4 linked regions of the Oryctolagus cuniculus genome follow. The protein of the gene in region 3 purifies or fractionates together with the protein of the main gene of each other region. This does not show direct contact. Links are inferred from orthologs where the notes say so. Each region holds a gene or a part of one and is shown on either strand. Other genes may lie near its edges. The genes, in order: GIT2, NCK2, ARHGEF7 and PAK2.

The links.
Region 1: the proteins of ARHGEF7 (region 3) and GIT2 purify together in Homo sapiens (affinity purification with mass spectrometry; 6 studies listed by BioGRID and IntAct, counting the BioPlex papers as one, with this or other methods). This does not show direct contact. The link is inferred for Oryctolagus cuniculus from reciprocal best matches to the Homo sapiens genes ARHGEF7 and GIT2.
Region 2: the proteins of ARHGEF7 (region 3) and NCK2 purify together in Homo sapiens (affinity purification with mass spectrometry; 3 studies listed by BioGRID and IntAct, counting the BioPlex papers as one, with this or other methods). This does not show direct contact. The link is inferred for Oryctolagus cuniculus from reciprocal best matches to the Homo sapiens genes ARHGEF7 and NCK2.
Region 4: the proteins of ARHGEF7 (region 3) and PAK2 purify together in Homo sapiens (co-immunoprecipitation; 5 studies listed by BioGRID and IntAct, with this or other methods). This does not show direct contact. The link is inferred for Oryctolagus cuniculus from reciprocal best matches to the Homo sapiens genes ARHGEF7 and PAK2.

What each region holds. Positions count from the first base shown.
Region 1 is NC_091452.1:18,835,878-18,844,053, forward strand, and holds part of GIT2 (ARF GTPase-activating protein GIT2), read right to left. Parts: intron 8,110-8,176; coding exon 8,058-8,109; intron 5,038-8,057; coding exon 4,965-5,037; intron 4,724-4,964; coding exon 4,626-4,723; intron 3,679-4,625; coding exon 3,567-3,678; intron 1,681-3,566; coding exon 1,538-1,680; intron 1-1,537. UniProt on the Homo sapiens protein: GTPase-activating protein for ADP ribosylation factor family members, including ARF1.
Region 2 is NC_091433.1:102,699,133-102,705,988, forward strand, and holds the end of NCK2 (cytoplasmic protein NCK2), read right to left. Parts: intron 4,487-6,856; coding exon 4,292-4,486; 3' UTR 3,425-4,291; downstream 1-3,424. UniProt on the Homo sapiens protein: Adapter protein which associates with tyrosine-phosphorylated growth factor receptors or their cellular substrates. Maintains low levels of EIF2S1 phosphorylation by promoting its dephosphorylation by PP1.
Region 3 is NC_091440.1:2,145,189-2,154,084, reverse strand, and holds the start of ARHGEF7 (rho guanine nucleotide exchange factor 7), read left to right. Parts: upstream 1-3,948; 5' UTR 3,949-8,896. UniProt on the Homo sapiens protein: Acts as a RAC1 guanine nucleotide exchange factor (GEF) and can induce membrane ruffling. Functions in cell migration, attachment and cell spreading. Promotes targeting of RAC1 to focal adhesions. May function as a positive regulator of apoptosis.
Region 4 is NC_091435.1:83,346,058-83,353,164, forward strand, and holds the end of PAK2 (serine/threonine-protein kinase PAK 2), read left to right. Parts: intron 1-3,621; coding exon 3,622-3,759; intron 3,760-4,209; coding exon 4,210-4,296; 3' UTR 4,297-7,101; downstream 7,102-7,107. UniProt on the Homo sapiens protein: Serine/threonine protein kinase that plays a role in a variety of different signaling pathways including cytoskeleton regulation, cell motility, cell cycle progression, apoptosis or proliferation.

The sequences.
Region 1 (8,176 bases), on a different chromosome or scaffold from region 3:
GCTTGCTCACTCTTCTTCTTTACTCGTTCATTCCAGCATTTTCAGAGAGCACTAGGCAATGTCCTAAGTGCTTGGGATGTGTCAGAAAACACTCCTGCTTCCATGGTGTTTACATCCCAGCAGCATGAGAGAGAGAAAATAAAAATAAGTAAATACATGGTGTGATCGATGGTGATTAGTGCTGTGGGCAAAGGTAAAACGGAGCAGGGTTGGGGGCTGAGGAGCTGAAACAGGGGTGCAAGTGGGCTGCATGTTAGTCAGGGAGCTGGGCAAGCCTCTGAGGAGGTGAGGTGTGGATGAGAGCCTGGGAGGTACAGGAGCCAGTCCCACGTCTGGAAGAACACTCCGGCTGGGGGCAGAGCTCAGCCCGAGGGAGTACATGTGCAGGGTGCAGGCCTTGGGAGGTCAGTCAGTCAAGAGGGCCCAGCACGAGGGTCCTGTAATGGCCTTGGCTTTCACTGAGTGCACCAGGCGGCTTCCAGGGAGCCTGGGTGGGGGCCTCTCCTGAACCTGCCAATGGCACCATCATATTCTCAGTCATGTGAGCCGGAAAATTCCAGACACATCTGTAAGTCTGTTTCTTCACTTCAGACCTCCAAATTACTGCCAAGACCTTTCTACATAGTCTACCTTCCTCATGACCCATCGGCAACGTCTGTGGAATACTCCCGTGGGCCTGCCGAGGGGATGCAGGAGTGGGTGGGCTGCCTGGGGCTCCAGCCCCCTTCCCTGGCTCACTCTGATGCCATGGTCTCTGTCTCACCTGGGCCCTCCTCACCTAGGGCCTGAGGTGGCTTACACCAATTTATCGGGACTTCTTGGGGAGTGTCTTCCCTGGGTTCCCTCCTTTTACTTTCTGACCTTTGCCCTCTTGCCCTGTCTGAAGCCTTCTGGGCTATGGACTGCGTGTGAGGCCAGGCTCCTGTCACATGCCTGCTGACGTACCCGAGTCCCAGCTCTCCAGGCTGTCCCTCTGCAGGGCAAGCTGTCTCTCCAGGTGCCCTGGCTTCGCCCTTTCTCTGCCCCACCCACCCTGCTCTGCCTCCTCCAGAGGCCCTAAGCCCCTGGGTCCTGAGGGCGTGTCTTAGAGCCAGCCCGGCCAGCACTGGCTCCCCCTCCTCTCTCGCCCTCTGCCCCTCTGTGAGTCATACCATGCATATCACTTTGTATCTTTTGCCTCACCCATCTCTCCTGTAGACAGGGACATGCTTAGGGGTCAGGGACTAGGCCTCCCTCAGTGGAGTTATTATCCAGAGAAGTCACTTAATCAACATTTGTTGAGTGACTAAAACACACCGGTCATTCCTCACAGGCCTTACAAAGTCACCAAGGTGGCAGGGCTGTGATTTCAGCAGCTGGTCAGGGACGAAGGACCCCTATTTGCAAACCATTTAGCTTGCTTCACCTCTGCTTGGCCCAAGCTACAGTGAACCCAACTTGAGTCCCACAGCCTTGGTGACTGACACACAGGGCCGTTTTGCAGAAGGAAGGTTTCTACAAGAAGCAGAGCCCCTCTGCGCGAGGCGTGCCCGCTCACCTTCTGCCGGTTTGCTCTGCTTGCCGCTGTGTCCACATCCGTGTCTTCGTCTGAAGCCACACTGTCATAGTCTGGCTGGTCATTGTCCTGACTCTCGGTGCTGTGCTGGTTACTGATGGTTTTCAGTATGAGCTCCACATTGTCTACCAACAGAAGCAAAGAACTTTACTTCAGGCTTAAAACATTGCTTTCCTTCCAAAACAAACTACTGAGAGGATAAAAATGGAGAGTTAGCCACTTAAAGGACAGAAAGAAAAACGACAAGAATAGCAGCATCACAGCCACACCCGACCGAGCGGGAGACAGAGAAGTCATCCCGCAGACGGACAGCTGTGCAGAGCAACTGAAGCAGCCCTTCACCCGCCTGCCAAATGTGAGCAAACCAAGGAGCTGGCTCAGCGAAGAGAGGCTCGGACTAGCGGGAAAGGTCCCTAAGTTGCTACTGATAGAGTGTGGCTTCAGACTTGAAGGTGAAGTTGTCACAAGTCAAAACAGAAAGCGAACTGTTGAGGTTTAGAGACAGGAACCCTGGCCTCAGTCACCTGAATCCCAGTGAGACAGAAGGGAGGAAAATGAATCCAGTGCATGCACACTTGCATTTTATTCAGAATATCCTCCATGGTGGGCAGGACTCATCATTCTGCAGGCCCTAACACACTATTTTAAAAATTATTTATTTGAAAGGCAGACAGAAAGAGACAGCAAGAGAGAGATCAAGATCTCTCATTCAATGGTTCACTCCCCAGATGCCTGTAACAGGCACAGGGAAAGAAACAGAGAACAGGAGATCATCCATCTACTGGTTCCCTTCCTAAATGGCTGCAACAGCTGGGGCTGGGCCAGACCAGGCTGGGAGCCAGGAGCTCCATCCTGCTTTCCCACGTAGGTGGCAGGGGCGCAAGTTATTTGGGCCGTCTCCCACTGCTTTCCCAAGGCACACCAGCAGGGAGCTGGTTTAGAAGCAGAGAAGCCAGGACTCGAACCGGTGCTGTGTTATGGGACGCTGGACATTGCCTACATAAGATTCTACCAACCACCCACATCTCTCCAATTCCTGTCAGGCAACTGAAGGAAACCTCTGATTTCTAATAGTACTTACCTGATAGCTCAGTGAATCGTATCTTTGTGATGAACTACAGTTACTTAAAAGGACTAGGTCTTATTTTAATTTTTAAATTAACATTTAAAAACAAATACATATAATCTGATGATAGAGTACTAAGATTCGATATAGGAAATACAGAGCGATCACTCACAGTCACTGCTGTGTGTTGAAGTCTTTTTTCTAAGTATATTTATACACACTCAGTCAATCTCTTATTCTTGGCAGTCCTGCTCTAAAAAATGGCTGCAAAGTCTGAATTAGCAATGTGTACCCTCCGAGGGAAAATACAGGGCTAGCTTCCCGAGAGCCTCTGGTCATGACCCTTCCTTAACCAATCAATACTCAACTGTGAGACGTGTGTGCTTCTGCTTAAAGACCCTTATCTAATACATACCACTGACTCGGCACCGAGCTCACAACTGCAACAGACAGCACACCTAAATGACGCTACTGGACACGCGGTTTTCTTTGAGGCACTCAGAGCCTTCTCAGTCTTTGGAACACCAGCAGTATTTCAGCACTATGCTTGGGGCTATTTTTGAACCAAAATCACCAGCAAAAAACACAAAAACACGAACACGGCACTAAGCCAACAAATGAAAGGGCCCCTCGCAGCCAGTGTGAGGCCCCAGCAAATTTTAATCGATGTAAGTGACTTTAGGAAGCAACAGCAGGTAAGATGCCATTCTAATCAAGAATTTTTTCTATGTTCTTTAACAAGAGCCAGTCCAACTCCCGGGTTAATTTCAGGATATAATTTATAAGAAAGGCCAAGTCACTTAATATACTTCCAACCAAACTTACAGGACTGCACGAAGCTGCCATGTGAAGGACTGCGTTCAGTAACGTGCAACTTTAAAACTGACACTTGGATTGAGTTTAGAAGGACAAAAGCACAAAACCCTTAGAGGTCTGAGCAGTTACCTTTGGCACTAGAGAGAGGACTGCCTTGCTGCCTCCTCTTGGCGTCGCTGAGAATGTCGATGACCAGCGTGGCAAACTCGTGTGCATTAAACCGAGCTAATTTCTGTCTGCCCTAAGGATGAGAAAATAATTGCCCATGTTCCCCAGTGTAAGTACACATAATCTGACCACAAAGCTGGTCAGATTATCGACAACTCCTGCAAAGCCCTTCCTGCCCAACAAAGCTGTGATCCATCACAGCCATGACTGACTCAAATATTAACAGTTCAAAAAAAATAATCCTTTATATGGGAGAAGTTCCTAACATTTAAATTCTCAAAATGTGAGAATGTATTGTATTCTTGTGACCAAACATAAAATGATTAATTCTTTTATTTTTTTGAAGTACATCTAGTAGTAAAAAATTAATGTGGAGTAAGATCTTTCAATTTCAGAATAAGGTGAACGGTTTGGACGCAGGGACTCTGTCCTCACCTGTGGCCTATAATCACAACCTCCAGCACCTTCCTCAGTGACTCAGCGTTGCTCCTTGAGAAGCACGCCGGGGCTGTTGCTAACACTTCATTAGCACACACGGCGCTCGGAAAGCCAGCCTGCAGACCTGCTGCTATCAGGACATTCCCAAAGGGATGCACTGGATTTTGAGGATTCTGAAACTAATTTTAAAAAAATTGCTTCTCTGAAGTCTACAGCAACATAAAATCTGTAGCATGAGATAGCTCATCCTGCCATGTTCGTTCAAGCCTGGAGTATCCTCTATATTTTATTATTTTGACTGAGGAAACTTTGGCAAACACCTTTATGTTGCCTTCTTTGATTACTGCTAAGAGTGAATGTTCTTGCGTATTTGTAAGCCATTCACACTTCATCTCTGAGTTATTACATATTCTTTTCCAGTCATCTACTTACATCTATTGCTTTGGTTATCATTTTGTGAGTTGTCTGTCTATAAAAAGTACGAAATTTTAGTCAATCAAAAAATTTAAATAACTTGTCCTGGGAAACAGCCATCCCCCCACCAATACAACTACTAATTACTTTTTAAACTGAACCACTTGCCTGGTTTCGTGTTGACGAGTACTCGGGATTGACCGGAAGAAAGGGGACGACGGTTGTCTCGGTTACCAAGGTGCTGTGGTTTTGTGTGGCAAGCCAGACTAGCCAGAGGAAAAAGCCAGAGACAGAATCTCATCACACCTGCTCCTCTGGGAGGCACGGCTCACGCGTTACTAGGGAGACTTGGGAAAGCACACTCTGAGGCCAACACACTCAAAAGTCAATGTCGACACACACGATATCAGGACGGTAGGAATCGGGCAAGTACAACACTGAGGCTGGCAGCTTGTCACTGCCCACTGATAACAGAAGCTTAGCAGATAAAGCCACATGTCAAGTCACCTGCATCAGTCTCTCGCCTGTCAACTTCATCGTACACATCCATGGCAAGTTCTTCAAACAAATGATTACTTAGCTGAAAGTAAAAAATATCAGGAACACAAGGGACAACGATTAACACCAGGAGGACGAGAGGGGACTGGGACTTAATTCACCCTGTTATCACCCGAAGCCAGTGCTTAGCAAATACCCAGTGTTAGACAGACAGTAAGTTTCAAAATCATACGGTGGTCTACAAGCATCTGCCCACCGCAGCAGCCTCGCTGCTCGGTGACAGACAGACAGGGATGCTGTAAGGAGCCCAGAGTATCCCCAAAGTGCTTAATCTCAAAAAGCAGGTTCCAAGTCTTCACTCCTCCCGAGCTATCGCCCTGTGATCTCTTCTGCTCCTCACAGCATTTGCCAGTTTGTCAAAATCCTAAGTTCTTGGCAGGTTAAGGCAGTGAAAACATGCCATCTTGAGAGAACACAATGTGCCAACACACAAAAATGCACACAGACCGTGCTCACGTTCCTTCGCCACCTGCCATGGTGGGGGCCCTCCCCGCCCCTGCACTGAGCTGCCCTCCTCGTCAGTGGGCTGTGTGGTGCCAGCACCCTCATTGGCAGCAGCCGGGGATGGGCCACACAACAACAGGCCTTTCCCACCAAGACAAGGTTAAGTTCGCCAGAGCGGCTCCAGGTCTCTGTGCCTCATGACTCACCCCGAAACTTAGCACTCGGGGACCCCCTATTCTTAGAGGACAGATGTTGAATGTGTTAAATTCCCTACTGTGTTCCTGACCCCACAAGCAGTATTGGGCTCGGGAAACATCTCCCAGACTGACTGCAAGTGTGCTATGTGACGATTTATGATGCTGGCTACCAAGACTCCAGAGGAACATGGCAAAATAGGCACAATACGTTGTTAGGAGAAAAAAGCAGGATATAAAATTCTGTAATGATTGAGTTCCATTTGAAAAAAAATTGCATGCATTTGAAATAAAAACTGAAAGAAATATACCAAAATACTGAGCCTGAATCCAAGGTAGTGTGTTGTCACATGACATTTATAAATAAAAATGAACACTGAGAACCCAGAGCTGGGTTAGACGAGGGACTGGGAACTTGAACTTGCTCACAACCAGCTTCTTCCTCTAGGTGACGCCACACGAACATCCCTGTTACAGCCCCAGCAGGCGACGCCGATGGGAGGCTCGCATCCCGGGAGCTGTGCAAACAGCGTCGCATGTGGTGCTTCCGACACTCCCACAAACACAGCAGCCACTGCCGTTCTGTTTTACAGAAAAGGTGCTGAGGCTTGCAAGTTACCAGCTTGCCTAAAGCTACAGTAAATACATGAGGGACCAGAGATCCAGGTTGAATCTCATAAAACGCTAGTATTTTCTCATTCAAGAAATATAAATGTACTCATCTTTGTTATATTTCTCTCAGCTTTTCAATAGGGAAGAACAGGAGGGAGAGGAGGAAAGGAAGAAGGTACTGGAGGACGCACACCGACCAGGCTCTCCAGACATGGAGGCCCCAGAGCAGGGGCCCACAGGGAACAGCTGCTTGCCCTTCCCGTCACAGCTCTGCTGTATCGTCAGCTCCCTTTGCTAAGAGACAACAGCAAGCCCAGGAAGGCTGAGGAGCCTGGCAGGCATGAGACGTACCTGACCTGCCTGACCCAGAGCCCGAGTTTCGGAGAGTTGTCCTTAACTCTGCTCCAGATGTTTACTGAACGCCCACCACATGCTACCGAGATTACAGACATAACCACAGCTTTCACGCCGTTTCCAGCCTAGCACATGCAGCACGGTCAGAGGGAAACTGGGCTCTCTCTAGGCTTCAGCTCCTTGTAACAAAAGCTCGCTTACATGTTATAAGTAAAAGGAAACCATACAATATTCTGTGCTGACACCGAAGGTGTCTTAATACATGACCTCCTTAATTTAAGAAAGGCAACAAAACACAGACACACAAAACTGTAGATATAGAACACAGAGACACCAAATTGCATAAAACACATTTATTTCATGATACAGTTAAACGCTAGCAAGGATAAACTCATTTACGTGACCTTTAGTACTTATTACCCTATGAAGTGCTGGTAGAGGGCCTTCTGCGAGGAGGGGAAGGAGTCGTCCTAAATCGAGAGCCTCGGGAAAGCTACCGCCTACACCGTCGGGGGCAGATTTTTGCTCCTTGAATGGTGAAGGGTGGAAGCTGGGCAAAGCAAACACTGCAGGCAAAAAGGGCTCGTGGAAGAGGCCTTGAGCGTGGCAGCTCCTGGCCTCAGAGAGTGTCGCCCACAAAGAAACACGGAGACATGCATGCATGAAGGGAAGCAGCGCAAGCTGAGGTGGGAAGTGGCACTGGCGCCCCCAGATATGAAGGGTTACAGATCTCGGCTCTGACCCAGACAGCAGGCAGCTGAGGAGCACAGTGTGGCCAGGAAGCACCCTGGGGTGCACAAAGTGCTGCTGTTCCCAGAGGAGTTTGCCAGGGTCCTAACTAAGGCAGAGGAGGGCAGGCTGGAGAGAAACACACAGTCCACAGGGAGGCTGCAACCTGCTGAGCTGGGCCAACTCTGATTAAACACACGGGCCAGGGCTACTGGCTTCTCCAAGTGTCCATCTGGAAAGTTCTGATGAATGGCATGGGGAAGGGCAAGTCAGTTCCAACCACGGCTGGTGCCCAGCGGCACGAGCGCGTCTATGGCTCTCATCGCCACGCCTGGACCAGCTTTCCTCACTCCCTAGCGCTCTAGGAGGCTCTAGGAAGTCATCCCAAGGAGGTGCGCCCCACTTGCTCATTTACACTGACAGAAAACAAGGCTTTCAAGAGGAGAAACAACGCCAAAGACACAGTCTTCACCCGTGACACTGACAGAAAAATGGGGTCTCCGGAAGCAGAGCCAAAGAACTCGAGAGTCTAAACTCAACAGTGCTTGCCGTCTTCACTGGCTCGTAACAATGGCCTGCTTCTCACTTGACAACATCTGACAGCACGAGACAACGTCATCTGACACAACAGGTAACTGGGACTGAGACCGGGACCCAGCAGGACACGCTGATGCCTGCACTGGTCCCACTAGTAAACAGGGATACTCACGGACTGAAGTTTCTTCTTAGCAGCTTTTGCCAGTTCAGACAAATCCAGGCTGCTAAGAAAATGTACAACACTAATAAGCAAATCAATAACACACGTTTGTAGATACCCGAGGGATAAAA
Region 2 (6,856 bases), on a different chromosome or scaffold from region 3:
CTTTCCAGCATAGAAGCTAGCAGCCTGGCAAGGAGCTAGAATAAAAGCTGTCTCACTGATAACCTAACCACATACCAACAAGTGCTGTGGGCTCTAGGGAGCAAAGGGCAGGACAGCGCCGTAGCTTACTTACCTGGTAAAGCTACCGCCTGCAGCACTGGCATCCCATATGGGTGCTGGTTGGACTTCCAGCTGTTCCACTTCCGATCCAGCTCTCTGCTGTGGCCTGGGAAAGCAGTAGAAGATGGTCCAAGTCCTTGGGCCCCTGCATCCATGTGGGAGACCCAGAAGAAGCTCTTGGCTCCTGGGTTCAGATCGGTGCAGCTCCAGCCATCGTGACCATCTGGGAGTGAACCAGAGGATGGAAGACCTCTCTCTCTCTCTCTGCCTGTGACTCTGCCTCAAACTGGCACCCATATGAGATGATGGCAATGCAGGCAGGGGTGCCACAGCACTGGCCACTGCTTTTTTTTTTTTTTTTTTAAGATTTATTTGAAAGGCAGTCACAGGAAAGAGATCTTCCTTCTTCTGGTTCCCTCTCCAAATGGCCACAATAGCCGGGGCTGGTCCGGACTGAGTCTGGAATTCCATCTGAGTCTCCCACGTGGGTGGCAGGGGCCCAAGCCCTCGGGCCATCTTCTGCCGCCTTTCCAGGTGCATTGGTAGGGGGCTGGATCAGAAGCGGAGCACCAAGGCCTCCAACTGGTGCTCCTATGGAATGCTGGCATCACAGGCAGTGGCTTGACCTGCCGCACCACAATGTTAGTCCCTGAAATAATACTTTCCAACTTGTCTATTCTTTGCATTTTCAACCTCGGTCTTAACAGTATTTTGGCATTCTGGCATTAGGCAGTAGGAATGACAGAAAGGTAGATTAGCACACAGAAACTAAAGACAAAATGGTATCAGCACCAAAAACATTTTGTTTGTAAATGTCAGTTGTTATGAGGAATTCTAATTTAGATGCAAATTTGTGGGGCACTTGGAGGAAAAAATGGACAGATAGAGCTCTCTGGAAATATTACTTAATGCATCTGGTCGTAAAACCTGGTAGTTGTGACTGTAACTCAGCAGGGTCCCTGTATGGAATGACATTTATGTCAACTGAAGGTGTGTTTAAATGCAAACAAGGGAACCAAGTTACCCAGATACCCAACGACTCACCTTCATTGCTCTTCGTCTTCCCTTCAATGTCTGCCTAAGACTCGCTCAGGCCATCTGTGGATGTGCAGGAGGGTCACTGGCATCCGTGCCACCTGCCTGGGGCATTGGGGAAGCTGCTAGCCAGAGGCTCATCTCATCAATCCGCCCTCCACCTGACAGCACCATGTCCCAGGGTGCCAGTTCCTTAAATAAAACACACACACACACCAGTCCTGGTCTACCCATAGGCGCCAGTTCCTTAAATCACACACACACACACACACCAGTCCTGGTCTACCCATAGCGCCAGTTCCTTAAATCACACACACACACACACACACACACACACACACACACCAGTCCTGGTCTACCCGTGGGTGCCAGTTCCTTAAATCACACACACACACACACACACACACACACACACGCACCAGTCCTGGTCTACCCATAGGCGCCAGTTCCTTAAATCTCACATACACACACACACATACACACACCAGTCCTGGTCTACCCATAGGTGCCAGTTCCTTAAATCATACACACACACACACATACACACACACACACACCAGTCCTGGTCTACCCGTGGGCAGCAGGAGGATTTGGCAAGGCACTGAATCTAATGAGCCCAGGCCTAAAAGAAGTTCCTGAAACCAAAATGTTCATCTGTCTTCAGTCCTTTAAAAAATCATTTGATTCCTCCCAGAAGCGCTGTGTCGAAATCCAGTCTCTCAGCAGTGCGGGTACTCGTGGTGTAGCGGGATCCTTGCGGGTCTAAATGCAGCACCCAGCAGTGAGAACTGACAGAGTCCACAGGCATGCTATCTCTTGGATGAAACACCCAACAGATGTCTCCACCTCACTCACCTGCAACGCTGTCCGGTTTTTCAAATGAAGAGAAGGGAGCATCCATTCTGAGAGCCGCCATCACTTTTACTCTGAGGATACCAACAACTCTACACGCCAGCAGGCACGCAGGCAAGGTTATACATCAAGTTTATGATTGGGAAAAGGAGTCGGTCTGGTGGGGCATGTTGGAGAACAGGATGGTGGTGTAAATCTTCAAACACAGGCCCATTCAAATGCTCTGGCAAGGGGCTGGCACTGTGGCATAGCTGGTAAAGCCACTGCCCACAGTGCCGTATCCCATATGGGCACCAGCTCGAGTCCCGGCTGCTCTGCTTCCGATCCAGCTCTCTGCTATGGCCTGGGAAAGCAGAAGATGGCCCAAGTACTTGGGTCCCTGCACCCACTTGGGAGACCTGGAAGAAGCTCCTGGCTCCTGGCTTCAGATCAGCTAAGATCTGGCGGTTGCTGTCATTTGGGGAGTGAACCAGTGGATGGAAGACCTCTCTCTCTGGCTCTACTTCTCTCTGTAACTCTTTTTCAAATAAATAAATCTTAAAAAAAAAATGCTCTGGCAAATTTATAAATTCCCAGGTACCAATTAGTGCCCATTAGCCCCCTGCTGCTCCCACGGCCACATTCCTTTTGGGGGCAGGTGTGCCCATCCTCCGGCCTGCATTGACGGAAAACAGACTGCAGCCGCATCTCTAATCCCAGGGCAGTTTGCTGCTCTGAGAGACACGTAGGCAGCGTCCTCTTACAGTTCACTACGACTGGGGCAGTGGGCTGCCAGCCTCATTCTCCATCAGCTTCTAATGGACCACAGTGAAAGGCGACCAAAGAATCAATGAACTCAATGCCAACAGGAATGGCAGAGTCAGGACGTACCACCCGGCTCTGAAATTCCTTCCAAAACTCTGGGTTTGCATCCCCTTGTGCATGACGTCATGCCTAACCGTCTTGGTCCCTACAATGGGGATCACGGTGGTGGTAAGCACGGGGTGGGGAGGACGCGCCATGTGCATCAGTCCTGGTCCACTAAGAGGGCACTGATCCGCGTGCCGTGAGTTGCACTCCCACGGCCTGGCATGCGGCCGCCATCCACTAAACACGGACAGATGGAGAGAGCCAGAGCGCAACATCCGAGGAGGGCCACCGGGAATGCAAAGACTCTGGCTGGCGACCGTCGAGAAAACATTCTGAAGCCAGCAATTCTCAAAGAGCGAAGTTAAGAGCAAGCTTGTTGGAGTTTCCCTCGTTAGCAGGGGTTATTTCAATATTCAAAAACGCGGTGGCAAGAAAGTCACAGGGAGTGCACTCCTGACCCTGCCCTTGAGCCTGGTTCTTCCTTTCAAGCTGGGAGAAGTCACCCAACACAGCGGTCACCCCTCCCCCACAGCAGTTAGCGTCTCCCCAAAGACAAACGCACACAGGATCGTGTCATAATACTTTTTTTTTTATTACAATATTCAAAAAAACTGGGTATGCAAGTTTAGGGGATCGCAAGACCCCTTCTTCCATCATAGGAATGTGCCATCTCAAGACTGTATATTTAAACTATAAAGAAGTTCAAATGTAAAGAAAAAAAGGGAACACGATTTCTTCATAAACATCTTGTGTCTCTGACTACCAATCACATTTTCTTTTGTAAACCCTGAAAAATTTCCCTGTAAAGCAAATAAAATATTTAAGTATATACACACACATACACAGACATGCACACGCATGTGTACAGCGTGCATGTGTGTGCGTGGGTGTGTGTATGCTTGTGTGTGGAGTGTTGGTAGCTCCGCTTCCCCCACAGATCAGCTGTTTTCCTGAATCATCCCGCATTAGTGTCAACAACCAGCTACAGATACGTAGGACTTGGAGAACTGAATACATCACCGTGAAGTTCAAAGGAGCTGCAGGCAAGAGCAAACAGCGCTACGTGGATGGCACACTTCAGGGGTCAACGACCAAAACGCGTGTCTTATCTTGAGTCACCGGGTCCCTCCGTTGCAGAATGCCTCTCGAGGAAAATTCTTTATTGCAAGCACGGCCCCAAGGCACTGGACAGCTCCCTCGTGGCCTGCGCAGCCTGGGGGCCCTGGCTGCGTGCACGGTGGCCCTCCAGCCGTGCCCAGGGTCTCCACGTGAGCAGAGGGTTGCCGCCACTAGTTGGAGAGAAATAAAGTGAAGACACTCGGCCCTTCCGCCTCCTTCTAAGACCAGCCAGGAGGGATGGTCGCACCCGGCGGTGGCGCCCGGAGCTGGTGGGCGCAGCGCGGCGCGGCCCCGACCCGAGGGCCCACGGCACAGGTCACTGCAGCGCCCGGACGAGGTAGAGCTTCTCCCCGTGCTCGCTGGTGAAGATGGGGGCCTTTTTGTAGTGTTCCACCAGCTCGTCCATGGTGTGGAATCGCCGCTGCCCAATGCAGTACACATTGTCCACGAGCTGCACCTTGAAGTGTTTGTTCTTCCCTGACGCTTTGAGAGACACGGAGAAGTCGCTGGGCTGCGGGAGCAAACGGCACAGATTACACCAGGGCCCGAGAGGGCGCGGGCTGCACGCTCTGGGGTACTCCACCCCTCTCCCCACGGGCCACACCCCCGGGCCACAGGGTTCCCAGAGGCGCAGGTGTCTACCACGGCACCTGCCGCTCCGCCCGACGACCCCTGCTCAAGGACTTCATTTGGCTGAGTATTCAGTGCTGAACACACCTCCTTCTTTGACACGTGGGACCCGAATGCTAGGAAACACTTTTCACTTCCCGAGCTGTTTTTGAGAAACTGGAATCTAAGACAAGTGGTTTCCATGCAGGCAGAGGCTAGAAATTTCCCTTCTTCTGACTTCTAATACTATTAGAAATTAAACCTTTTTTTTTTTTTTTAAAGTCTAAGCCATTTAAAAATAAACGCCTAGGGCAGGTGTCTGGCCTAGTGGCTAAGATGCTGGTAAGATGCTTGGCGTGTACAAAGGGAGGAGGGCCTTGCCTCATTTTCAGCAGTGAAGGGAAGGGGGAGGGGTCCTGGCCTCCCTGGGTGACCTCAGCCCCTCGGAGCTCCCCCCGCAGCTGCGTCACCTGGCCCCTGCCTATTGTCCCAATCAATGAGCCTAAAGCATAACCTCCCCCACACAGTGCCCATTCTAGTCCTGGCCATGTTGTTCTTGGGGCCATCTGTCTTCTGCGTGGTTATCATACCCTTAAGCTCAAAGTACAGATGCTCCCCCCCAAGACCAGTCCCACACAAGGTCAGTTGTCTCCTCCGTGGCTTGCTATGTGGCACCAAGTCTACGCCACAACCTAGGGCAGCCAAACCCAGGTCCGCAACCCACTTTCTGCTCTCGTAATTCCTAGGGACAAGCTCTGCTCCTACCCTCCCTCCACCTCCCTCGCAGCCAGACTCTGGCCACAAGTTTCCAAAAGCCCTCAAATAACATTCTTCTGAGGAGAAGGGAGCAGAGCCTGGACACAAGGATTAACAGAGCCCACGTGGGCGCCTACTCAGGAGCATGGGTGTCCGAGAAGATCCACACTGCACAGGGCAGCTGGGTGCACACACTAGCCACAGCTGTTAATATGGGTGTCCGAGAAGATCCACACTGCACAGGGCAGCTGGGTGCACACACCAGCCACAGCTGTTAGCACAGCAGGCAGACAGGGACAATGGAGTTTACAGTTAGCCTGTGCGCTGTCCCTCTGCCCAGGACCAACAAAGCAAGAATAAGCCTTGGAGGGAAAAGCCCCTCTTTATCTCCATGCTACCCGAATGCCTTGGGGGAGCCCCCAGGAAATGCTGGTGAATGAGACTCCAGGAAGAGCCCCGAAGGTCCATCCCCAAAGAGGATGCAGGCCAGCTACTATTTTCACAGCCCCTAGAGGGTCAGACCTGGATGGCACACTCAGGCCAAGCTGCTCCACCAACATGCACATCCACACGGCACCAGGCGGCCTCCTCCTGAGTCACCGTGTGGCCTGCGCACCCTCGAAGTGCGACTGTGCTCACAGGGCTGAACAAGACGACGCAAGCTCGCCCCGCTGTCTCCGTCCAGGTGGGCGGCTGTGTGTGGTTCTGAAGGCCCAACAAGCGGAACCAGGCACTGCCCGACAGGTCTGGTGCACACGGGCAAGCTCCAGACGTCAGCAGTATTGGAGGACCGCGACACTCACTCAGCCCTGGCCCCCTGCACAGCACGCACGGGACCCACGGCCGCCAATCAGAGGGCACTTTAAAAAATGCATGGAAAACGGCGTTTTACATTGGCGCAGAGTTCCTGAAATCCACATACTGTTTTCTCATTACACTCATGTTCTGTGAACTCTTTGCAGACTCCAGTACAGGCATGGATTTAAACATTTTTTGCACTGGAGCTGCTGTGAAGGCTTGAGGCACCCAATTTTCATCAAGCCGAGTGATCAACAGATGACCTTGGAATAGGTGAATTTGCTTTCCCCTGCAGCTCCTTAATTGAACATCATGGGGTGTGTGTGTGTGTGTGTGTGTGTGTGTGTTACAGGAGTAACACTGATGCAGCACAAAAGGTACTTTCTAATTTCATGGGCTACCAGGCAGAAACAGCTTGTGCCAAGCAGGAGGGCTGACGGTTTGGGGCTGTTCTTAATTCCAATCAGGCAGATCTTCCACAAGAAACCGAAATCGAACAACCCACGTCCTAAGCAGACACACCGCCACACGTTTCAAGCTGAGCACGCCTTATCCAAAATGCTTGTGATCAGAAGCTTGTTTTGGGGTTCGGATTCGGAAATATTTGCACTCCCATAATGAGATATCTCAGGGAGGGGACGCGCATCTACACACAAAACTCACCTGTGCTTCACATACACTTTGCACTCATAGCCTGCGATATTTTAGACAAGTTTGT
Region 3 (8,896 bases):
AGGCCCCTGGCTTTTCCTGAGTGACCCAGGAGCTCCGCAGGGCGCTGGGCGGACAGGTGGGCGAGGCAGGTGAATTGCAAATGCAGTGAGGTGTTTCAGTGCGCCAGTACGGTCCCTAAATGTAGCAGTCCCTCCTTCAATGGAGAGTGATTTTTGAGATGCAGGCTTGCACGTGCAGGCTGCCACACACGTCCTCCTTGGCTCTGACCTCTGTCTCACCCGCACTCTGCCGACGTCTGTCTTTCAGGTGATAATGATCCCTTCTGCCCCTTTTCTTACTCCCAGAGTCTGTGAAAGTCCCAGCTGGCCCACGACAGGCCGTTAAGCTGCAGTGTCCTGTCCTCTCTTGCCTGGCCAGGGCCTCGCTGCTGTGTAGCCATGCACTTGGCCATGAGCGTGCTCAGCTGTCTCCAGTCCCCGTCTGTCTCTCTCTGCGTGACGGGTTCCCTCCTGCTGCCTCATCGCCTTTCCACAAAGAGCCACTGTTCCTTGTGCACCTTCAAGTCTTCCACGTGTTAATGCGTGGATTAAGACAGAATTTTTCAGGTCGGCACTGTGGCTCACTGGGTTAAAGCTGTAGTCTGCAGTGCCAGCATCCCATAAGGGTGCCAGTTCAAGTCCCGGCTGCTCCACTTCAGATCCAGCTCCCTGCTAATGCACCTCTAGTCCTTGGGCCCCTGCACCCACATGGGAGACCCAGAGGAAGCTCCTGGCCCCAGGCTCCTGGCTTTGGCCTGGCCCAGCCCTGTTTGTTGCTGCCATTTGGGGGGTGAACCCCAAGTGGCTGGAAGATCTCTCCCTCTCTCCTCTAACTCTGCCTGTCAGATAATAATAATAATCATAATAAAGATAGAATTTTCCCCTAGGTGGTCATGTCCAGCTTCTCTAGTGTGGCTCCGAGGCTGTCACTTGCCATCAGTGCGGCTTCTTGGCCAGAGAGCACCAGGCGTGACTTGAGTGGCAGGAGGGGCATCCCTCGGAGTTGCTGAGGTGAAGTGCGAGGAGATGGGACGGTCACCAGAGCCCTCTGGGCTTCCCGTGTGCCGCCAGGGACTGCAGGGAGAGGTGCTTCTTGGTAAGGCACAGGCAGATCTGAGGGCTGTCCCAGTAGCCAGCAGGCTGCATGTGGCCACAGGGGGCAGGGCTCTGAGCGCCCTGGCCTGCCCATGACCGCCAGGGAGCCCCGTGACTGTCCGCTTTGGCTCCATCAGCACTTTCCCTCTGGAAACCACGGGTCCTCTCCAACAGCCTCTCAGCGGTGGGCAACAGGCAGCGATGTCGCCGCCGCGTGCCGTGTGTGCTGCTTTGCCCAGGGAGGAGGTGGGGCCGGCAGTTTGGATCAGCACAGGAGTGGGAGCTGAGAGCCACGAGGGCTGTGGCTCGGGCTAGAGATGCCACGCCACCACTCACGACACAGGCGTGCGGATGAGCTCAGGGGACAGGATCGTTGCGTGTGGCAGGTGCACGTTTTTGAGGAAAATCCTGGACCACAAGACTCAGTGTGGGTTGTCACGAATTTGTACCAAGCCACGAGAAGTGGCATTCAGTGAGGAACGGTCAGGAGGCCAGCAGTGGCTCCTCCTGGCCACACCTGCTTCCTGGTGTCCCTGTCGCCGCAGACCGACCCTGAGCGGTGGCCAGCACCTCTGTTTTCCAGAAGGTTCTCCCTTGACAACTGCCAGACACCTTGCCGACATTCTCATCTGATGTCACTGGGAGAACAAATGTGACCCGGGGAGAAGTTTATTTTCTTTCTTTCTTTCTTTTTTCTTTTTTTACAGGCAGAGTGGACAGTGAGAGAGAGAGACAGAGAGAAAGGTTTCCTTTGCCGTTGGTTCACCCTCCAATGGCTGCTGTGGCCGGTGTGCTGCGGCAGGCGCACCGCGCTGATCCGATGGCAGGAGCCAGGTACTTCTCCTGGCCTCCCATAGGGTGCAGGGCCCAAGCACTTGGGCCATCCTCCACTGCCTTCCCGGGCCACAGCAGAGAGCTGGCCTGGAAGAGGGGCAACCGGGACAGAATCTGGCGCCCCGACCGGGACTAGAACCTGGTGTGCTGGCGCCACAAGGCAGAGGATTAGCCTAGTGAGCCGCGGTGCCGGCCAGAAGTTTATTTTCAGATACATCGGGTGAATGTTTTATCTGTAAACATTTCTAATACAGCCATTTTTGGCATTGGCATGAGTTTGGGACGCTTGCCACCAGCTCCGAGGGACATGACGTGCTTCTGGGGTTTGTGGGAACCGAGCCTCAGGGGACGCATGAGTTAATTTGAGAACCGCAGTCTCGCTGGCACTCCCCTGGTGTTTCTGGATTTAGCCTGGGAACTAGAGGTTTGGGACATCTGTGCTTGTTTTTACTCTTTAAATATGTCCAGCGTCATACTCGCGGGTAACTCGGGGTCTCTCCCTGGTGACCGCAGCATCCCACGAGGGAGTGCTCTGGGGTACGTTGGAGGAAAGCAAAAGCGAAACATCCTTTATTTAAATTGTTTTTTCAACAGATTACTTGGGTACTTGGCCACCTGTTACCGTGTGCATTAGCAACCAAACCTTGGCATTTCTGCTTGCGGCATTTGTCGTCCAGTGGGTCAGTCTGGAGGTTCTGATTGATCCGTCCTCAGTGTAGGTGAGCCCTGCTCCCTCGTGTTTCTGCCCCAGTTAGCATCACTTACCAGAGTGAGCAGAGAGTATAGCAGAGTGAACAAGAGACGGCTGCCGTGTGAATAGAATAAACCAGTGGTTTCCACGCAACTGAAAATCAGGCGAGGGCGCGGGGCCCTCGGCGCAGAGGTGCAATGCTGCTGGACACCCGCGTCCCACGCTGGGTGGGTTTGCGTCCCGGGTCTGGCTCCTTATTCCAGCTTCCTGCATCCGGGAGGCCGCGCTGGATCCCAGTCCTCCGAGCACCCCAGCGTGCGTGTGGCTGGACCTCGGAGATGGTCACGGGGAGGTCCACTGCTCCCGGAGGCTGTCCTGTGACCGCTGGCTTTTTCCCATGTGCGTCTCTAACACTGCATGGTGCAGGCGCCTAACGGTTCCCTTGCGGCCTCCCTTCCTGCCCTGCACTCCAGGCCCTGTCTGGCCTCCCTGGACGCAGCACGGACTTGGAGAGATACTGCCTGCATTTCCAAATGTTCCCGAAACTTAATTTTCTTCTAGAGAAGCAGGGTCGGCATTATCTGTGCTGTCCCCCGCCGCGCCCTCCCCGGAGATGGTAGGAAGCCGTGTCTCGGCGGCGGCGGTGTGCCGGTGGTTTGCTCTGTGGTGCTGGGATTCATCGGTCTCGTCTCTTGTTCCCATCACTCGCCTTTGCCGTGCTCTGTGTTGAGCTGCCGGCTCTCGGGGTGAGGGTTCCAGTGGAAAGCACACGGCTCCCCAAACAGCGGTGGTGGAGGGGGCTTGAGGAAAGCATGGCTGAGAAAGCCAGAGCGGGGCAGCGTGGGGGAAGGACGCCCTCTGCAGGACGTGGGAGCAGCTGGAGCCGCCGTGGCTCCTCCTGGGCTGGAGGAACAGTGGCGGCTTCCGTGGACCCGGCACCACCAGCGCTCTGTGGTAGTTTGCTGATTTGCCTGTAGATGTTTCCACCATGGCTGAATTCAGACTACCAACATGATAAAGCCCGGTGCAGGGCTGGGGCAAGACACGCACGGCACCCCTGCAGCCGCCGTGGGCTCCTTCTCCTGCATGCCTGGCCTCCTGTTGGCCGGACCCCCTGGAAACCAGGGCGGGGGGGGGGAGCCTGGCCCGTGCGGTCCCGAGGTCAGGGCCGGGGGAGCCTGGCCCGTGCGGTCCCGAGGTCAGCCGGCTGGTCCGGGGCTGTTCCACGTCTCTGCTCTCCCGACTTCCCCACCTGTAATGGAGCAGACTTACCTCAATTGTTTTCTGCAAGAACACTAAGGTTCTTTCACTCACCCTGTGGTAGGTGAGATCAGGGAGCCCAGTGGTTCGGGCCGTTTGGTGCACACTTGCTGACCTCCTGTGTCCAGTGAGGCACCTGTGGTTGCAGGTAGGGAGCCTGTGTCCAGTGGACAGGTGAGGTGTGCCCGCGGTGGGCGTGCAGGCAGAGCCACAGGGTTCAGAGGAACGGGCTGTTGCTGGCAGCCCAGGGGGAGGCGACATTGCTCGCTCAGAGTTCAGCCTGCATGTCCTGCTAGTTCTCTAAGGATGGTCCCGGTACCATCAGAGCCTCCCAGGAACTTTCGAGAAAGCCAGTGCCGTGGTTTCCACCTTAGTCCGACAGAAGCAGGAGACTGTGATGTTTGGTTCCCAAACCTGCATGAAATTCAGTGTCAGATGAGGGATTTCAGACACAGACACACACACACACACACACACACACGATGCCTGGGCCGCACTTCCAACACACCCAGCCACATCTCTGGGGGCCCTGGGGCTGGCACTCATGGTAAGATGCTAGGATGCCTGCGTCTCACGTTGCTGGACCTGGATTCTCCCCCAGCTCTGGCTACTGATGCCGCTTCCTGCTAACGCAGATCACGGAGGGCAGCAGTTATGGTGCAAGTAGCTACGTTCTTGCCACCGGCATGGGAGCCCTCGATGAAGAGCCCAGCTCCTGGCTTTGGCCCCCTGCTCCCTGGCCGTTGTGGGCATGTGGGGAGTGAACCAGGGGTTGGGGGCTGTCTCTGTAGTGAAGAATTTCTGGGGACGAGGCTCCATGAGGAGGTAAGATGTGGTGAGCTTTGTCCATTTTCTGGTCTTAATTCTAATTTCTAAGGCAACACCGTGTCTGTGTGCTTCCCTGGCTTGTAACGCCTATTCCCCCTCTTGCACTAACGCTAACACCTTGCACGCACTTTCGAACCCTGGCCGAGGAATGGCACTTTGCTTAGACTGCGGCCACGTTGGTGGCTCCTGGTCCGGAGGCCGTGGTGCGTTGAGGAGGAGGAAGGGAGGCAGCTAAAGTCTGTCTTAACGTTGCTTTGTGATTAAGCTGGAACGGTCTTCTGCCTTAGTTCACAGAAGAATCCGAGTAGTTTGGGGACGTTCAGGGCCTCTGCCTGACGACAGTTCTTGATGGAAATCTGGGACAGGTTTCTGGGACGTGAACTGGGGGGACTTGCTCGTCCTTTGAGGCCCGAGTTCTTTGACCTCCTCTGGAGCCTGGAGCGGGGGAGCCCTTGCTGGGTTGTGAGTACTCTGGTGACGGTGAGCGTGGTGCCCTCCTTGTCCCTGGCATGTCGCCCTGCCACGCTCGACACTGCCCCTCTCCCTGTGACCCACTCTGCTGTGTGCGCATTGTTACCTGCGGCTTGAATCTGCAGTTCCCTGAGCATTAATGTGGAACGCGTCTTCCTGAGCTCACGGTGCAGCTTCTCCGGCGAGGTGTGAACATGGACTTTGAATTGCCCAAGTGCATTTTCCCCACTGCTGTTTCATCCGTGATCAATCATCTCCGTCCTTGAAAACACCTTGGATTTGACAGTGGCACACCTCTGATTGTGCAGGTCTTCCTGCCTCTTCCCTCTCCAGGCCCAACTCAGACGTCACCTTTTGCACTGGCCAAGCCTCTGGCCCTGCCCTGTGTCTGTAGCGTGTACATGTCGCTCCACTGTATTTCCATGGTCCCACGTGTCCATCTGGGGGGGGGCGCACTTGCTATGTAGCAGGCAAGTCTTGTCCGCCTCCTGGAAGGCAGTGACCTTGTCTCAGAACATGACCTGCTACGGAGTCCAGGCCCAATAAAATTGTTAAATTAATTACCCACTTGCTCCTCCCAATGCCCGTGAGAGAGGCTGGGTGTTAGCCTTAAATTGGAGATAAGGGCACAGACCCAGGGAGGTCGATGACTTGTCAGGTGACACGTGTGACACAGCTGGGTGCTGCTCATCATAAAGACTCTCGGACATTACAGGTATCAAACGAGTGCGCCCCCGAAGCAGCCGGCTGCACGTGGCTCTGTGCGGGGACACTTCAAGGGACACGCCGTCACAGGATGGTGTTCAGGACTCACAACTTGCAAATGCAGTTCCTGAAAACTGCCCAGCCTAGATGCCTGTGTCCAGGAAGACATGGGCTGGCTTGGCTGTCCACCTGCCCACTTCCCACTTGACATAGAAAGCTGGCCTTGCACCCATTTGCTGTCTTCATGAGGTGCTCAGCTGCAAGGCGGGACCTCTAGGCCGTGCACCACGTGAAGAATTACAGGTACCCACGATGTTGAGAAACCAGCCGCCTTACTGACCTGGGCTGTGCACCTCAGGGGTTTCCACTGCTTAGCTCTTCCAGGAGACCGAATCACGTTGTTAATTGATGACTTAAATCCGTTTCTTTACGAGAAAGTGTAGAAGGCCTCCAAGAATTAGGTTGTACCATGACAAACTCCCTTTCCATGTACTAAATTTTATCAACAGTGTTTGCATAAAGTAAACCCCAAGGTAGAAATACAGTAGGCCAGCACCGCGGCTCACTAGGCTAATCCTCCGCCTGCGGTGCTGGCCCCACCTGGTTCTAGTCCCCGTCAGGGTGCCAGATTCTGTCCCGGTTGCCCCTCTTCCAGTCCAGCTCTCTGCTGTGGCCCAGGAGTGCAGTGGAGGATGGCCCAAGTGCTTGGGCCCTGCACCTGCATGGGAGACCAGGAGGAAGCACCTGGCTCTTGGTTTCGGATGGGCGCAGCGCACCGGCCATAGCAGCCATTTGGGGATGAACCAACGGAAGGAAGACCTTTCTCTCTGTCTCTCTAACTCTGCCTGTCAAAAAAAAAAAAAAAAAAAAAAAGAAAGAAAGAAATACAGTTGATGCCGGAGCCTATCTCATTCTAGCAGGAAGTGTCAGTCATTCAGGGTGACGGAGTGATTAGAAAAGCCCTTGGCCTGATGGTTACAGTGTGCATTAAAAGGCCAACGTCCTGTATCAGAATAGCTGGGTTGGATCCCGGGCTCCAGCTCCTGCCTCCAACCTCCTGTTCACGCAGACCACGGAGGCTGCACTTGACGGCCCAAGTGCCTGGACCCCTGCCACCCATGGGGGAGACCCAGAGGGAGTTCCTGGCCTTGGTTGGGCTGTTGTGGTCATCTGGGGAGTAAACCCGCAAATGGGAGCTTTGTCTCTGTCTCGGCCTCGCCAGTAAATACATTTTTAATTTTAATATCAATTTTAATTAAATATATTTAAAATTAATATATTTAAAGTTACATAAATTAATTTTGATACTAATATTTTTTATTAAAATAGATATTTCCAAATAAAGTTTTGGCCATTTGTATTTAATAATTACTTATCAAAACTGTAACGTATTTCCCCGTAGTTTGTGTAACTGCTGCAATCCAGGAGCGAAGCCCTAAGACCTAGATTCCCGGGGCTTGATCTCAAATGTGCAGTCGAGCTCCATTGCTTGTGGTGTTGTGGTCTGCAGTTACCGCAAACCTTGTTTCACAGGACAGATGGTCTGTCTCCTGACAGACTTCGGTCACAGTATTTCATCAAGCAGTCAATCCATGACCATGTTTCATGCCTATTTTTGCTTAAATACAGTTCATTATATGCACACATACATGTTACAGATCCTTGTGTGCAGTACTTCTTCATTAAACACTGTTTCCATCCCGCCGTCATGAACGCACTCTGCCGTGTCGGCACTCGTGTAGCTCCCGCACGCAGCACACGTATGCGGAACTCTCATGAACACACACAGCCCTGTCAACACGGACGGGGTGCAGTGAGGAAGTGCAAAGGCAGCCTTGAAAGCAATCGGCAAAGACTGCACTCAGTCTCACAAACGCTGCTGTGAGCTCTCGCAGCGCTGGAACTGGGGTTGTGTGCACGGCCAGCGGGACGTGTGCGGCCTCCCGACCAGAACAAAGCGGGCTGGAGGGGCCGACCGCACAGGGACCTGCAGTGAAGGACGCACGCCGGGCTCTGGCGGTTGTATCTCAAGAGTTCGGCTTCGGCAGCTCGCTGGTGGTGCCAGCCCCACTCCCTCTCAGGTCTGCTAGGAAAGCGGCCTCCGCCTCGTCCGGCTGGCTCTTCGCCAGATCTGAGTGAGGGACAATGCAGCGGAGGCCAGCGCTTGCCTGTGGGGCTGCGTTTAAGCAGGGGTCACGTCCTTCCACATCACTGAGGGTTCTTCCCAAGGCAGAATTCCACTCTGATGTTTTGGCCCCTGTGAGAGGGACAATTCTTGGAGCCTTGGGCTGACCGTCGTCACGGTCCTGACTTTCATTGCCGACTCCAGTCCGTTCTGCCGTCTGGCCCAGGTCTTTCTTGGTGGGTTCTACTGCCCTTTCTGCCAAGACGGCCCCCACATCTTCTTCCTTCAAGTCACTGGCGCCGTCTCCACGTATGCGCTGTGCGGTACACACTATGGATTCGATGCTGTTCTTCATAACCTCTGTAACACCTTCAAGGCCTCGACACTGCCCGCGTTCTGGCCACACTCTCCCAGCAGTCACTGACAGAGGCCTGCTTGGTTCTGTCCCAGGCCGTGCCAACATAACCAGCAGCACTGTGGACGCTGGCTGACCTCCAGGAGTCCCCCGTGGTGGCCCCCGCGTCGGCCTCAAGCCCTCACAAGCCGTACTGTACAGCCATGTCGTGTGCCTTGAAAGCTTTGGTTACGCCCTGATTGAGGGTGGATGAGAGATGCAGTGTAGGGAGGCGTGGAGAGAAGTAGTGAACCGGGGCGCTATCCAAAATTAATAAAACCCCGAAGGCAAGATTTCTGCCCCCGATAGCGTTCAGCTTCTGGATGAAGCAGCTGTGGAACCGACCCCAGAGTACTTCGGACCCCACCCATGCTTCCGTGTTCCACCTCCAGGGGACTGGCACACGGTTCGTCTTTCCCTGTAAGGGCTGGGGGGGTTTGGGCTGTGTACGCCAGGGGGGGTTTACCCTTAGTCACCCTTGGCATTGGCGCTGGGCTTGGTCTTGGAGCCATTT
Region 4 (7,107 bases), on a different chromosome or scaffold from region 3:
AAATCTTAAAAAAAAACTTACCCTATTGCCAGAGCTTTTAGTTGAAGTGAGCAGCCAAGTACTTTTTGTAGAGGTAATTAATTTAGAGTACTTTTCAGAACATTTTTTTAAAAGATTTATTTATTTGAGAGCCAGAGAGAGAGAAAGGTCTTCCATCTGCTGGTTCACTCCTCAAATGGCCACAGTGGCTGGAACTGGGCTGATCCAAAGGCAGGAGCCTGGAGCTTCTTCTGGGTCTCCCACATGGATGCAGAGGCCCAAGGACTTGGGCCATCTTTGCTGCTTTCCCAGGCACGTTAACAGGGAGCTGGTTTGGAAGAGGAGCAGCTGGGACTTTAACTGGTGCTCATATGGGATGCAGGCACTGCAGGTGGCAGTTTTACCCACTACACCACAGCCCTAGCCCCTCAAAACAATTTTTCAAACCCCTTTACTTTCATTCTTTAGTTAGCCAGTATTTAATGGAGTGTCTGTCTTATACCAGGCAGTATTCAAGGTGCTGCCTAAAAGAACCAACAAAAGTTTTGTCCTCATGGAACTTAAATTCTAGTTAGAGGGGAGAGACAACAAAATAAATAAGAATAATATGTGACAAGTTCAGTGATGGTCTCGCTTGAGAGGTCAGGGTGTTTGCTTTCAGAGGGGTGCTGTGGAAGGCTTCACTGAGGTGACGTGTGGACACGAGAGGTAAGAGATGGTACGTACCTGGTGGAAGAGCATTCCAAGCAAAGAAACAGCAGGTATGAGCTCTAAAGCAGCAGTGTTCCTCGTGTATCCAAGGATCATTGAAGATTTCAGCACAGCTAGATTACATCCTGAAAACAGCAGGTTGTAAGGTAGGTTAGACTGTTAAGTGCCTTATAAGGCCTTTGGAAAGATGATGGCTTTTTCTCTACGTAACTTGGGGAAACTATTGGAAAGTTTTAAGTGGAGGAATAAAATTGTCAAACGTTTTAACAGGATCTCTGCCTACTTTGTTGAGAAGAGATTATCCAAGCAAAGGGAAAAGTATGAAGACCAGTTAAAAGGCTGTTGAGATAATTCAGGCAAGCGGGGCCCGTGCTGTGGAGTAGTGGGCTATACCTCCATCTGCAGCACCAGCATCCTACATGGGCTCTGGTTCGAGTCCCAGCTGCTTCTCTTCTGATCCAGCTCCCTGCTATGGCCTGGGAAAGCAGTGGAAGATGGCCCAAATGCTTGGGGCGCTGCACCAGCGTGGGAGACCTGGAAGAAGCTTTTGGCTCCTGGCTTCAGACTGGCCCAGCTCTAGCCATTGTGGCCATTTGGGGAGTGAACCAGTGGATGGAAGACCTTCTCTCTCTCTCTCTCCCTCTCTCTCTGTAGCTCTACCTCTCAAGTAAATAAAAAAATCTTTGTTTAAAAAAAAACTCAGGCAAGAAATAAGAAATGATGGTAGCTTAGACCACAGTCATATCAGTGGAGGTGGTAAAAAGTGAGTTGAATTCTGGATGTTTTTTGAAAGGAGAGGCTACAGGGGCTGGCGCTGTGACATAGCAGGTAAAGCTGCCGCCTGCAGTCCCAGCATCCCATATGGGCGCTGGTTCAAGTCCCAGCAGCTCCACTTCCAATCCAGCTCTCTGCTATGGCCTGGGAAAGCAGTAGAAAATGGCCCAAGTCCTTGGGCCCCTGCACCCACGTGGGAGACCTGGAAGAAGCTCCTGGATCCTGGTTTCGGATCCGCGCAAGTCCGACCATTGTGGCCAATTGGGGAGTGAACAGTGGATGGAAGAACTCTGTCTCTCTCTGTCTGCCTCTCCTCTCTCTGTGTAACTCTGACTCTCAAATAAATAAATAAATACATTAAAAAAAAAAAAAAAAAAAAAAAAAAACAGAAGATTTCCATAACTGAGATGACCACAATTGCATGCAGTAAGAGTAGGGGATCTGGTTGGTAGGTGGGATATCAGTAGATAACATTTTAACGTGTCTTAGAGTCACTAAATTTTAGGTGCCTCTTAAGTCATCCAAGTGAATATGCTGAATAGATTATTGGGTATGCAAATCTGGAATCCAGGCTAGAATTTCAGGTATAAAATCATGGTGCCTTAGTGATAGTTATTATCCAAAGCTGTGAATCCAGATGAGATCACCAGGTCATGTGAGTAGCTAAAAGTTGATGATGCAGACCAACAAAGCAGACTAAGAAAGAATGGCTGGAGGCCGGCGCCGCTGCTCACTAGGCTAATCCTCCGCCTTGGGGCTCTGGCACACCGGGTTCTAGTCCCGGTCGGGCACCGGATTCTGTCCCGGTTGCCCCCCTTCCAGGCCAGCTCTCTGCTATGGCCAGGGAGTGCAGTGGAGGATGGCCCAAGTGCTTGGGCCCTGCACCCCATGGGAGACCAGGATAAGTACCTGGCTCCTGCCATCGGATCAACACGGTGCGCCAGCCGCGGCGGCCATTGGAGGGTGAACCAACGGCAAAGGAAGACCTTTCTGTCTCTCTCTCTCACTGTCCACTCTGCCTGTCAAAGAAAGAAAGAAGGAATGGCTGGAAAGGGAGGAAAAGCCAAATAAATATATGCCCTGGAACCTGTATAAAGAAAGTAAGCTTGTCAGAAACTGCAGTTACGGCCATTGAGATGAGGACTCAGGAGGGTATTGGATGCAGCAATGAAGATACTGCTTGGTACCCACATCTCTTATCAGAGTGCTTGGGCTGAGTCCCTGCTTTGCTTGTGGATCTAGCTTCCATCTAATATGCACCCTGGGAGGCAGCAGATGACGGTTCAAGTAGTTGGGTTCCTGCCACCTACCTGGGAAACCTGGATTAAGTTCCAGACTCTGTTAAACTTCGGGCTGGTGCTATGACATAAGTTAAAGTTCTTCTTGTGTCTGTATATAGTATATATAGTGGCCTTGGTAGCTACACAAACCAGGTGTTCAAAGAATGACTGCCTGGTGAGAAAGGATATCTATAGGGATGTAGAAATAATCAGGCTTCAATTCCAATTTCTACAAACCTAAAACTTCTTAAATAACAGTTAATCAAAAAGTAATAATTTCATTTCTAGAAATTTATAGGAAATAAAGAAGTACATAAAGAATACAAGAATTTTCTAAAGGCTATTGATTATAATAGAGAACATAAGATACTGTTTGATTTAACCATTAAAATAATTTTGCGGGGCCAGTGCTGTGGTGTAGTGGGTGGAGCCGCCACCTGCAGTGCTGGCATCCCATATGGGTACTGGTTCGAGTCCTGGCTGCTCCACTTCTGATCCTGCTCCCTGCTTACACACCTGGGAAGGCAGCAGAAGATGGCCCGAATACTTGGAAGAAGCTTCTGGCTCTTGGCTTCAGACTGGCTCAGTTCCTGCCGCTGCAGCCATTTGGGGAGTGAACAAACAATTGGAAGCTCTTGCTCACTCTCTCTATGTCTCCTGTCTCTGTAATTCTGACTTTCAAATAAGTAAATAAATCTTTTTAAAAAGTACATAAAATGAAAAAGGAAAAATTTCAGAACCAAATGAGTAAAAATGATAACCTCACTTTGATGTTGATGTTTGTTTTTAAAGAATTAAGAGATCCACAAACTTTGTAAAGTGATCTGTCAGTTTGTTGCACTATCATAAGTGTGTAAAAATGTTCTTCCATTTTTAGGCCTTGTACCTGATAGCAACTAATGGAACCCCAGAACTTCAGAATCCAGAGAAGCTTTCCCCCATATTTCGGGATTTCTTAAATCGATGTTTGGAAATGGATGTGGAGAAGAGAGGTTCAGCCAAAGAACTGCTGCAGGTAATTTGGAAATGATGTCATTTTTGGAAAATTTAGTTGCCTTTGTGTTTTGAGTAATCTAGAGAAGGTTTTCATAGGGTGGCAAATCATTGTATTTCACTATGTATTGATCACCTTGGTGTGGTAACTGCATTTTAGGGCTCCTTCTGGGAATAAAAATCTGTAACATCATAATGAGTTTTTGCATACTGTCAGTTTTCAGGCCTGTTCACTGCTGGCCTGGATATGTCTGTGGCCTTAACTATAGATTTATATTAGGAAAAGTAAAGTGGTTGCTTTCAGCTTTAGGTGTTGTACTGATTATGTTGGTTTCATATGGATATTGACTTGTGGGGATACTTTAACAAATAAACCATGATTCATAAGTAGTCTTTGGGGATTAGTTGAAAGGAAACATTTTGTTTCTAAGCTGATAGCATTTACCTGTTTGTTTCTCCCCTTTTCTGGCAGCATCCCTTCCTGAAACTGGCCAAACCATTATCCAGCTTGACACCACTCATCATGGCAGCTAAAGAAGCAATGAAGAGTAACCGCTAACATCAGTGCCGTGGCCTCATGTTCCTTTGTCCATTTCCTAAAAGAAGTCTTTTAATATATGAAAGTTACTGCTCTTTTCGGGGTTTAAAGAAATGGTCTGAATAATGGAGGAAAAACAAAGCTACTATTTCTTGAAGACAACTAAGACAAAATTGCAAAAAGAGAATCATGACTTTCAGATGAACCCCTTCTTTAGGGTCCAAAGGAATTGTGGACTGAGTCACTCGCCTTACATCTTTCAGCAGACAGCCGTCAGGGCTGTTCCTTATGCTTGAGATTTGCATTTTATTTTGCTAACTTTGTTGGAATAGATCCCATTCTTGTCCCCTTTGGGGTGTTTTCAATACTTGAAGGGCAGATTCGAGTTTTTCAGCATATTTGTTTCACCTGCTGGTCTTCTCTCTCCTTCAGAGCTCTCCTTTTCCTCGACTTGCTCCTTTTGAGTTGCTTTGAGAACTTTTTGTCGTGCCTGAATTCAAGGCAAGTATGATAGAAATTGTGCAGCTCCTCATTGGCAAAGGAGCTCAGCATAGTTTAACTTTGTATAGAAGTTAGGACCAGCAATGGTTTCATGGAATATTTCAGTTCAGAACTTGAACTGAAAGAAGGGAAGAAAAGTATGTGATTTTTACCTTTTTAACAAATGTGAAAGGGTCACTTTGAGAAATCTCATGGTGGTGAGTTTGGAGTTTGTTACATGTATAGAAAGAAGACTAATCTATATTTATAACTAAATCACTGAGACAAAAAAGAATCCCGGCGACTGTACACCCTGACGGTTTTGTCTTCCTTTCTGCCTTTCTCCTCTTCAGATTTGGCTTGAGGAGGAACCAAAGTGATTTTTCTTGTTCCAGCTTGGGCTTTATGACTGGTTAGTGCCATTACCTTTCCTTTCCTCCTTTCCTCTTTCATTTTGGAAATAAGTTTCTGTATATGTTGCAATTTTAGGTTTAGTTTTTTTGTTTTTGTTTTTATGTAACCCTCTCACCTTACATATCCTGTTCATACCACATCCTACTCTGTAATAATCATTGAATTTTCAGAATTTGAAAATTAACTTTTGTTTTCCACTTAAAGGGAAAAATATTTGGGGTTAGCAGAGACAAAGTGAGAGATTGAACTTTAGTGAGTTGTAGAATAATTAGTTGAGACTGTATTCATGAGAGAGAAATGTCAGTATTACAGAGTTCCAAATGATGACGAGTAAACTGTAAAGGCTGTCATAAGTTAGAGTGATTCTAACACATTACCAGTGTGTTACTGTGTAAGAGAACTTAAATGAGAAGGTTCTTGGTGGATTCACGGATCATTGGAGATGTGGAATTACTTTAGTATTTTTTTTTTTTTTCAGAGAAGTAGAGAATATTCATGTAAAAATCTGAGGAAAAGAAAAATGCGGTATTGATAGGAATCCTTTTTTATTTTAAAGATTAAGAAAAGGTCTGTGACCTGTTAATTATGAGAATGCCCCTTCCTCCCCTTCCCTTCTGTGCTTTACTCTCCTGTTCTTCTCTCCTCATTTCTCGGTTGTTTGGCTTTTGGGTGAGGAATGGTCTACTCTGACATGCCTTGAACCACATAAAAAAGTCTTCGGTTGAGTTCTGGTATTTTGTTCCCACCATGCCCTCCCAGTGAAATTCACACCTGCTTGCCATCCTGCAATAGTACAAATCATTAATGAAAATAAGTATGCTGTTTTGTAGTATATTGGAAAACCAGCAGAGTTTTATTTCCTGTTATTCCCGTCGTATCTGTGTTAAGACACAGATATCAGTGTAGAATGACTATTTTGTGTTGATACCACAGAAAGATTTTCAGAAAAATGAGTAAAATAATTAATGAAACTTTTATATAGAGCACTTAATGATCTCTGATACCAGTATGGTTCTTGATTGCATTTTTCTCTGGACTATATTGGCCTTCTACAGCTCTTACTAAATTATAGAAACAAGCTGGTTTATTTCTGGTGGAAAGCTACAGTGCCCCTTAACTTCCAGATTTGAGCACTCTTTGTAGACGATTGGATGGATGGATCATGATGAAGATGCTGCCAATGAGAGAGAGAGAAAACACCGACTAGATGATGAGACTGATCATCATGACCACTTAAGAAGGCGCTTCCCATCCTAAGTCATAAGGACTTTTTCCCTCGAATCTGTGCCAGGGCCCCAGTTTATGCTTGTGGTGCAACAAAGGGCCTTTCAGACGGTGGAAGCAGTTTGGGATTTGTATTTACAGCCTCTCGGATGGTTACCTGCACGTCCATTGCTGGCAACGGACTTTGAAATCTGACTCCTTGGTTAAGGGAGCTACACTGTGGTGTATTCTTTACTTACCTGGATAAACTAACCTGTAATAGAAGTATACTTTAGTAAATTCTGAAATGTGTCATTTTTAAACAAAATAATCCTGAAAGCAATATGAAATTGTGATTTATTAGTTATTTTAAATTAAAATGTTCAGATCTTCTTGAAAGAACTACTGTATCTGAATCAAGATTCTTGTTTTTTAATAATTGCTTTTTATATTCATCTTTTTTTGTCACCACTTCAGGGTGAAAATTCCCATTTAAATCTGAAAATTACGTTAGTCATCTTGTATTACTAGGGCAATATTACTGTAATACTTATTTATGATATTTTAACCTCTCTGGTGGTCTTTAAGTTATCTTCTACTCTTGTTCCTTGTGCTGCTTTAAGGGACAGCTAAAAACTGGGAAACCATGACAATATTGGAACATTTTATGCTACCTACAGTAGTAAACAAGTAGAGTGATTATGTAACATGACCTCAAGGCTGACACAACTCTGT